Oryzias latipes: one gene and its partner. The protein of the gene in region 2 interacts with the protein of the main gene of each other region in a pairwise test. Links are inferred from orthologs where the notes say so. Each region holds a gene or a part of one and is shown on either strand. Other genes may lie near its edges.

Region 1 (4,477 bases), on a different chromosome or scaffold from region 2:
TAGCTCCAACTGGTGCTTGGTTCGGGGATATTTTAGAATGTCCGTCATTATTGCTTCGCGGCTGTGTAGACGCTACTTGGCGTCTATCTTCTTCGCTGGTATGTGTGCTCAGCAAGGCAGTTTTGTGTTTGAGCGCCCCCAAGTTGTGTTTTACTGTAACTTCAGAAGCTCCAGACACGTGAGCAAAAGCGCCATTCTCATTGGTCGAGTAGATTTCGACGCGACGCGTCGAAAAAAAAAACGAACCCAAGGCGTTTTTTTTTTTTGACGCTTTAACGCGTGGCGTTTTTTCGCGTCGGTGTGCACACTCTCGTTGGTGCCCTTTGTTTAGTCACGAGGCGTTAAACGTCGGCGAAAATCGCCGGCGAAATTCGTCCCGGTGTGAACAGGCCTTAACACTGAGCGTGTAAATCCAAGCAGGGGCGCAAAGGAAAATTGACCGCGAGGGATCACCGCTCATTTAGGATTGCAGGCGTGCAGTTTTAAAATACGGAGTCGCTCGGTTAGAATTGCGCCCGCGCGGTTGTAAGGTTTGCTCACTCAGTTTCCGAATACACCCGCTCAGTTGTCTTTACGCCCTTTCACTTTATGGCAGAGATGAAGCGCCATACAAGACAAACATTAACTAGCATTCTTTCACCCAAGCACAACCTCACCTTGCCATGTTTGTGTCCATGCTTTTGTTTATGAGCCTTCTTCATCTTTTTCTTCATCTTCTTATTGGCTTTATGTCCAACCAGCCCAATTCCCATTCCTGCAACCCCACCCGCTACTACTCCACCCATTGGCATGGCTCCTCCATGATGATGCCCTTTGTGGTGCCCCCCTTTGTGGTGCCCCCCTTTTGGAGAGTGTGGGTAGTGACCTGGATGAACACCAGCATGTGGGACTCCTGGAACTCCACCTGGAGCCATGGGATACGGGTGAGCTCCAGGTGCTCCATATGGCATCATTCCTGGAGCTCCATGTGGTCCCATGGCGACATTCCCACCAGCTGGGTACTGACCAGCTGGGTACTGACCAGCTGGGTACTGACCAGCTGGGTACTGACCAGCTGGGTACTGACCAGCTGGGTACTGACCAGCTGGGTATACTGGTTGTGGAGGAAAGACTCCTGCTGGAGGCACAGGAGGATATGCAGGGTTGTAGCCAGGGGCAAAGGCTGGGTTTGGTGGAGGCACTGAATGGGGAGGACCTGATCCAAAATAAAGCATTTTGTGGCTGACATTGCATTAGGTAATACAAACATTTATAAAGAATTTTGATATCCCACCTTGATTTGGCCACATGGTTTTGGTGTAGAGCCTAATGACAAACACACATCAGGTGTCACAATAGAATCCTGACAAACAAGCAGAAAGGAAAATCAATATAAAAATATGATTAAAAAGGGCAGTAAGTCAACATTACAATCATATAAAAATTAAAACTAAAACCTAGAAGTAAATAATTTCCCATTTCAGTTTAGTTACTTTTGTTCAATCAAGTCCAACCTACCGTTAAAAACAGTTGAATATTCTATAAATTACATTTAACAACATCTTTTGAACAATAGAAACAAGTCTTGAGAAGTTCATTTTAGCTCGGTTTTTGACAAAAATTTGCAACAGAGCCAACGGCACCGCAGTTGGAGACCAAGGGAAATGCTACTTGTTGTGGAGGGACCCCCCCCCCCCCCCCCCCTCAAAACGTCACATGTGATTGCAGCATTTTGTTTTAAAACCAGAATAATTGACACACATTTGTAAATTACCTTTTAGGATGTACATGAAAGTGAGGAAGAATAGAAATGTAATAATATGAATCATATTTTAAGTATCTCATTATATATTTTCTTATTATATATGCAATAAAACTCCAAATTTTTTGATCCATTGATTCTTCACAGATTTGTGTGTGGGGATTAGATATAGTTTATATTCAGCAGGGTTTTGTTTTGTTTTCTTGACAGTTTGGTTCTCACATAAAATAGTCATCTGTAAAACAAACAAAAAACGTCAACATTTGCATCATGTGATTTTGACACACCTCAGGTCGGACACACCTCAGTGTGGAAACATGATCTGTATGTTCGAATCCAGGGAACCAACAATTTTCAACAAGAAATTCTTCATATTTTTATCTTTCAAAAACCAGTTTGTGTTAAACGTAACAGTTGGGAAATAAAGGGTAATCTACAGCTGTTGGACAAGTGAATAGTGGGAGCTCAACTGAGCAAATCTCTGAAAGCCATGATGATAAGACTGCAATCTTATATTTTACATCAATGGAAGAAATAAACACAAATAATAGAATTATTTAACCACAACACAAGATTGGTAGAATGAGATCATTAAACAAGCTTGAGAAGTTGCCCAAAAGTCTATAAAAACTGAAATCTAAACATCACTGACACACAAAACAACAAAAAGAAAGTAAAACAGCTAACATTGATGTTTAAAGTATCTTGACGCAGTTATTTGTTTATTTTAAGTCCATTTTAATACATCTATTAAATCTACACTGGACCTGCATTATTTCTCCGCCTGCCACAAAGCAGGCCTAGATGTCGCAAAACGAACCCCTCGAGGAATTTTTCTTCGGCTAAGAAATTCACGCAAAGTTCGGCCTCTTACCGAATATCCTGCATTTAAAACACGAGATATTTCCGAATTATCTACTGTCAACATCTGTCGCACTGCCTATAACAAAATGCCAGGTTCCAAAAGCTTACCTGAGTAACTTGCCTCTGCTTGTTCGACGTCACTTAGAAACCCGGAGCTTCTTGTTGTCTTCCGCGTTGAGCTCTGCAGTTAACTGAGACTGCGCCTGGAAGCCACGCCCACCTCCGATCAAGAATGCACAGTATTGTGCCCACGTTGAAAGCTCATTTAATACTTTCAATGTCACAATCACAAAAGACGGAGTTTGTCACCACAGGGTGTGTCCAAAGGAAATACGACCATAATGGAAATGATTTTATCTGAAAATGTCCATTACATCATGGATCCACTGTAATTCTTTTTATTTAAAGAAAAGTTTAACAATTAACTTTTGCTCAAGCTCATAGCAGGATTTTTTATTGAACAAAACAGTATTTACAGACGGACTTTCATAATTTTGCATCAAAATGAGTTTTATAGACCTAATAATAAAATATCGTGCTATTAATGAAATACAATAACCAAACCCCTTTTTAAATTCAGTATTAACCAAATTTTTAAATAAAACTTGTATGAAATTGTACCACTATGCCACAAATAACTGGCAGTTATTTTTTTCCATTACTGTCTGCTTTCCATTTGGTCATCAAAACACAACAATGAGTCATTGTGCCCATGATATAATAACAAGACTGTATCAGCCAAACTGAATTCACTTTTATCAGGTTTACACAATTTTCATGATCTTTTTGTTTGTTTGTTTTTTTGTTTGTTTTTATATATTTAGTAAAACAATTTGGTGAGAGACAGTTATGAAGTGAGAACTCCGAATACAATAGAATTTCTTGTGTTTCATATATTCACAGCAAAACTGATTCTTAAATAAGAAATAAACTTCTTCATGAAAAAAACAATATTATCAGTGGAGATTAAAAAAAAGTCAGCTAAATGAAAGCACCATCAAACCATATGTGATTTATCATTTAAATAAAACTTAACTCGTGAATGAATAGCAAATTAGTAAGTCAAGCTTCTTTTTCAAACCTTTTAACTTGCTCAACTTTGTTTACTCAAAGCCAAATGTCGAGCCTTCTCATATGCAAAATCACAAATAAGGACTTTGAAGTACAGCGTTCTTCCTAAATGACTTTCAAGTACTCGCCACAAACCCACCTTTTTCTTCCGCTGTTCAATCAACCCCCCCCCCACACACACACACACACACCCACACACACACACACACACTTTTTTTAAGGAAAATTTTCTCTACCTCACATTTGGGATTTATGGCTCTTTTTAGGGAGCTGAATCTTTTGAATCAGTTCACTTGGAAGGGACGTTCAAAAGATTGGCTGATTTGGCTCTTTTTATAGTTATTTGCTTTTAAGACTAGCCTGGAGTTTATTCATTTAATCCTGGAAATAATCACAGGGAGGATTGATGGGCCTAGATTTGGATCAGAATAATTCAAATTCAGATTTTCCACCAATAATTGAGTTCATATTATTTTGGAAATATCAATTATAGTTTCATTTGACATGTGTGGACAAGATGTCTGATATGGATTCATTGTAAATATTTATGGAGAGCATATACTGTGTGTATGTATACTTTGAATTATGTTATTAACACAAAAGCTAAATCAGGGGTCTGCAACCTCTAAAAGAACCATTTGGTCCAGTTTCTTACTGAAAAATAAACGAGTTAGAGCCACAAAATCTTACTACTCCTTTTATAAAAATACACTTTTATGCAGCCTGTAGTAGCTTTTTAATTTTTTACAATATTTAAACCTTAACAGAGTTATATTTTTTAAGTAGGTTTTTGATTTATTT
Region 2 (4,402 bases):
TATGTTTAATTCTTTCTGCACCATGAGTGAGAGGGAGGGAGAGGAGGATGAGGTTATTTAGCAGCACTAGTACAAGAGTGCAGTCTAAGAACTGAAGTTACAGTCAGACTCATGATAATTAAAGGCATGGTATATATTGTAAATTCACACCATGTCATTCATTTTAATGTTATAGAAATGAGAAAATCTGCAGCCTCTAACTTAGACATATGAGAGTTCAAGAAGTACCATAAATTGAGATGGAAAAACATTTAATTGATTTGGAGTAATATGACATTTAGTTAGATAACTATGTAAATTTGAGTTCTAAAAACAATTAGAGTTTTATAGACGTAAGAAATTAGGTTGAATAAATTTAATTCCATCACTTGTTACCATTTGAATCAATTTTTTTAAGTTCGATAAGTTTTATTTATATACGTCACAATGTCATTTTAAATAAGATCAGAAACTTGTGCGTTTATTTCTCCGTTCTTTTTCTCCAAGCAGAAACTCTCTTTTGCTGATGCAGCCGTGTTACTTTTTGATGGGCGTATAATCTTCATACGCCGTCATTAAAATCTCAGACTCCGTCTCACTGAAGTATAGCGCTCTCTTTTGTTCTCCACGCGTTTCCATGGTGACTTGGGATATCGGCGATCCATTGAGAATGTCTTTATGTACCTGCTGTGCACGTGCGGTAACCCAGGGTTACCCAGTCGAGCGTAATTACGCCAACTCATATCCGGTCTTTTGGAACCGCCATACCCAGAGTAAGCAAGTTCAGGCGGATTTCAGCCAGAGTTCAGGCTTAAAGTCAGGGTAGTTTAAACATGCTTCCTGGAATACCCCCCTGGACTCTGACAACCATGCTCTAGTCCAGAGGTGGGCACTGAGGGCCGCAGTCCTGCATGTTTTCCAGCATACCCTGCTCTGGCATGTTCTGATTGGCTGGACACACCTGAACCAGGTAATCAGCCATGAGTAGGGCAAGAGTATCTGGAAATCATGCAGACACACCGGCCCTCGTGGCCTGGAATTGCCCACCCCTGCTCTAGTCTAAACCAACACTAAGGCTGTTCTTTCCATTGTCTTCTGCACCTTTCCTTTCATTCTTGCTGAAACTTTTTTGTCACACATCACATCTGAATCCTTCCTCAATCTGTTGCTTTGGACTGCTGACCTCTAAATACTTCAAGTCGTCCATCTTCTTCACCCCGGCTCCCTGTAATCTCACCAGAATCCTCCTCATTGTCCTTCTGAGATTGACCTTCACTCCTCTTCTTTCCAGAACAAGCCTACACCTCTCTAGATGTTCCTTCACTACAGAACACAGTGTCATCTGAAAACATCACAGTCCACAGAGATTCTTGTCTAAACCTCGTCTGTCAGTCTGTCCATCATCACATCAAACAATGAAGAGTTCAAGCTGATCCATTGTCCAGTCCCACCTCCACCTTGAAGTCTTCGGTCACACCTACAGCACACCTCACCAACCGCTCTACAGCCAATCTGGTAGAACAGTTCTGTCTGTGGTTCCGTTTTTGGATTTGGTTATGTTTTTCATATTGTATACAGTCACAACCTCCAGCATTTACAGACTTGGGATTCGCCACATGAAAGCATTGAATTGTGCCCCCTTGTGGTTAAATTCAAATTTAAGAAAGAATACAATTAGGATATTTAAGAAAAGAATAAGTGACCTTACCCAGTAATGCTTAGTGGTTTATTTTCGACTTCTTTCAATTTCTTTTTCATCTCAACTGTTCTTGATGGTCTGTGGACGTATTTTCTTTTGCCCGTACATTCATAGGTCCAGTGTCCCAACTCCAAACACTTTTGACATCGTACATGCTGTTTGTTTGCCTCCCTGTAGAAAAAAAAAAAAAGAGGTTTCAGATTCAACACTACAAAAGGAGTACGTTAAATGGGCCAAATCCATAAATACCTGGAAATACTTGATAGTTTTTCACAAGAAAATGTTTGTAATTGATCTTAGTGACGGAGGTTGAACCTCTGAATTTTTCTTTTTAAATATGAAGATGATATATATTGAGGCAGAGTAGCTTCCAAGTTCACAATTAGATTTAATTTGATTTTTTCCACTTTAAAAAAGGCCACTACAAATCCATTTGGTTCATAAAACAATTTTGGCATAAGTAAACCAAACCAAACTAAAAGAAAAATTCAATATTTTATATTACAGTGGATACTGATAAAATCTCATATTTTGAAAAGGATTTATAAAAGTCCTGAAAATTTTGTTTTTTCCTGCGTCAGATTCTTACTAAACCCAATTTTATTGAATTAATTGATTACTACCCAAGTAAGTGAACATAACACGGTCGGTGAGGCCATCAACGATTCACGAACTACTGAATTCTATCCCAACTTTTATGCAGTAAGCTCGTTCTTTATTAGATTGTACACAAACAAAATGTAGTTTTTCCGCCCCTTAATGTCTACTAAAATCCTCAGGAACGTGTGCGGTTGTATCGATAATTAGTTTGGGGCGTTAATGGCGGAAAACAAGTGTGAACAGCGAAAGAAGAAGCGCAGCATCTTAACTGTTTTTAAACAGTGAAATAATCGTTATTTACCGCTTCTATAGGATATTGCACCCAACAAAAAAGTGTAATTTATGTTTATCGATATGTTGTCTTCACATAAATTTGGTATGGAATCAGTAACGTTGTGATAACGAAAACATACTCACGCTTGTCTCCTGGCAATTATTCTGTGCATAGGAGTAGCCATGTTAAAATCTGATGCAACTTCTTCTGTGGTGTTTCTTCACAACGAGCTTCCGGAAAAGTTAATGTATTCAGCGCCCCCAGTGGTAAAAACGGATAAAGCTTTTTAAGGTCATGTTCATTTTTTCCCACTATTTTTGAAATTTTCATAACAAAAATTCTTTATAGTTTCCTTATTAATAAATGCGTTAAATTAATTTAATGCATTTATTAAGTAGAAATAATATTCAGTGGTTCTAATAATTCAACACAGTTACAACATCAATAGTACAAATAAGGAAATAAGCAAACATACAAACTACCTAGATGATGAGTTAAAGTTTGTACTTTTTCAGATTTAGTGTTAAAAATAGTAGATAAACTGAAAAATCATGTAAAAATGTATTTTCTTTTTTAGCAGCAGCAAGATTGTACATTCAACATTTTGATATGGATTTTAACTAGGCCTGCACAATATACCGCAAATTTATCGTTATCGCGACATCAAACTGTGCAATATGCATACCGCAAAAGACGGCAAAATCGCAATAAATGGTTACCTTGACCCTTGTGCTATCCTAAGCACTTTAACATTGGGAGTGGGGTCATCTAGACCCACTAAACAGTGCTCTGAACCTTTTTTCTTCTAGGATTTGTGATCTTCACTGGTGTCCATGGATTACATGAAATCTTTCCACCTTTATCCACCTTTGTCATGGTAGGAAGAACACGTCACTGTAAGGGGGGGTCATCTAAGATAGCACAAGGGTTAAATGTGCTAAAACAAACTCATGGCAGCTTGAAATATTGAATAAATGAAATAAATCCCTTTATGCATTTAACCAATCGGAAGGACTCGTTTACGTTGTTGATCAATCAAATGAGCCCTTTTATGTTTGATGTTTGCCTCCTATGTCGACAAGGGTCATTTGGAGTATAATTTTTATGCTGTTGCATTGAAATGGAAATGATGTTTTTGGTTGGTTTGATATTTGTTTATATACTGCAAATTATATCGTTATCGCAATATTAATCACCAATATCGCATATCGCGAGTTTTCCTCATATCGTGCAGCCCTAATTTTAACAAATTAATATATTTGAATTAGATGAAACAGATACGTTAAAACCTAATTGTCTGCCAATTTCAATATGATGCCAGTATTACCAAGTTAATTAATTGATACACATTCTTTGTACTATTGTAGTTGGGTTGAAGTACTGCAGTTTTGCTTGCATGTTTTGTTATGTTTTTGTACTTGTTTATGTTATTATTACAGTTGTTTTAATCTCATACTCATTATCATCATCATTTAGCTAATTTCTGACAAAAATAAATACAATGCATATTCTTATTAAAGTTGCAATTCGTTTGTTTATTTTTTTTTTATTTCAAATGTTTTTACCATGTATGTTAACAAAGAAAAAAATAAAACAAAAAAGCTTTCTCATAGGACTGTCTTACGAAAAAATTATTATTTGCTCTGAATAAAAAATTTAAAAAGCAAAATCTATGCCTATTGTAGACAAGATCATTTTCATTATTTAGGCTAACTTTGAAAAGCTTAAATCACAAAAGTTTTAATAACAAAAAGTATTATTGAAGATTAGAGTACAGTAGAATTTTATTTATATAAGAAGGGGCAGTGAATATACAGCAATAAAATAACAAGTTGGTCTAGACATGTGTT

The links.
Region 1: the proteins of zcchc10 (region 2) and prr13 interact in binary tests that used the Homo sapiens proteins (3 or more experiments, as listed by UniProt). The two-hybrid records come from large-scale screens. The link is inferred for Oryzias latipes from reciprocal best matches to the Homo sapiens genes ZCCHC10 and PRR13.

Annotation. Positions count from the first base shown.
Region 1 is NC_019863.2:10,423,594-10,428,070, forward strand, and holds the start of prr13 (proline-rich protein 13), read right to left. Parts: upstream 2,839-4,477; 5' UTR 2,714-2,838; intron 1,343-2,713; 5' UTR 1,290-1,342; coding exon 1,274-1,289; intron 1,196-1,273; coding exon 657-1,195; intron 1-656. UniProt on the Homo sapiens protein: Negatively regulates TSP1 expression at the level of transcription. This down-regulation was shown to reduce taxane-induced apoptosis.
Region 2 is NC_019872.2:6,666,323-6,670,724, forward strand, and holds the start of zcchc10 (zinc finger CCHC domain-containing protein 10), read right to left. Parts: upstream 2,815-4,402; 5' UTR 2,737-2,814; coding exon 2,696-2,736; intron 1,850-2,695; coding exon 1,688-1,849; intron 1-1,687.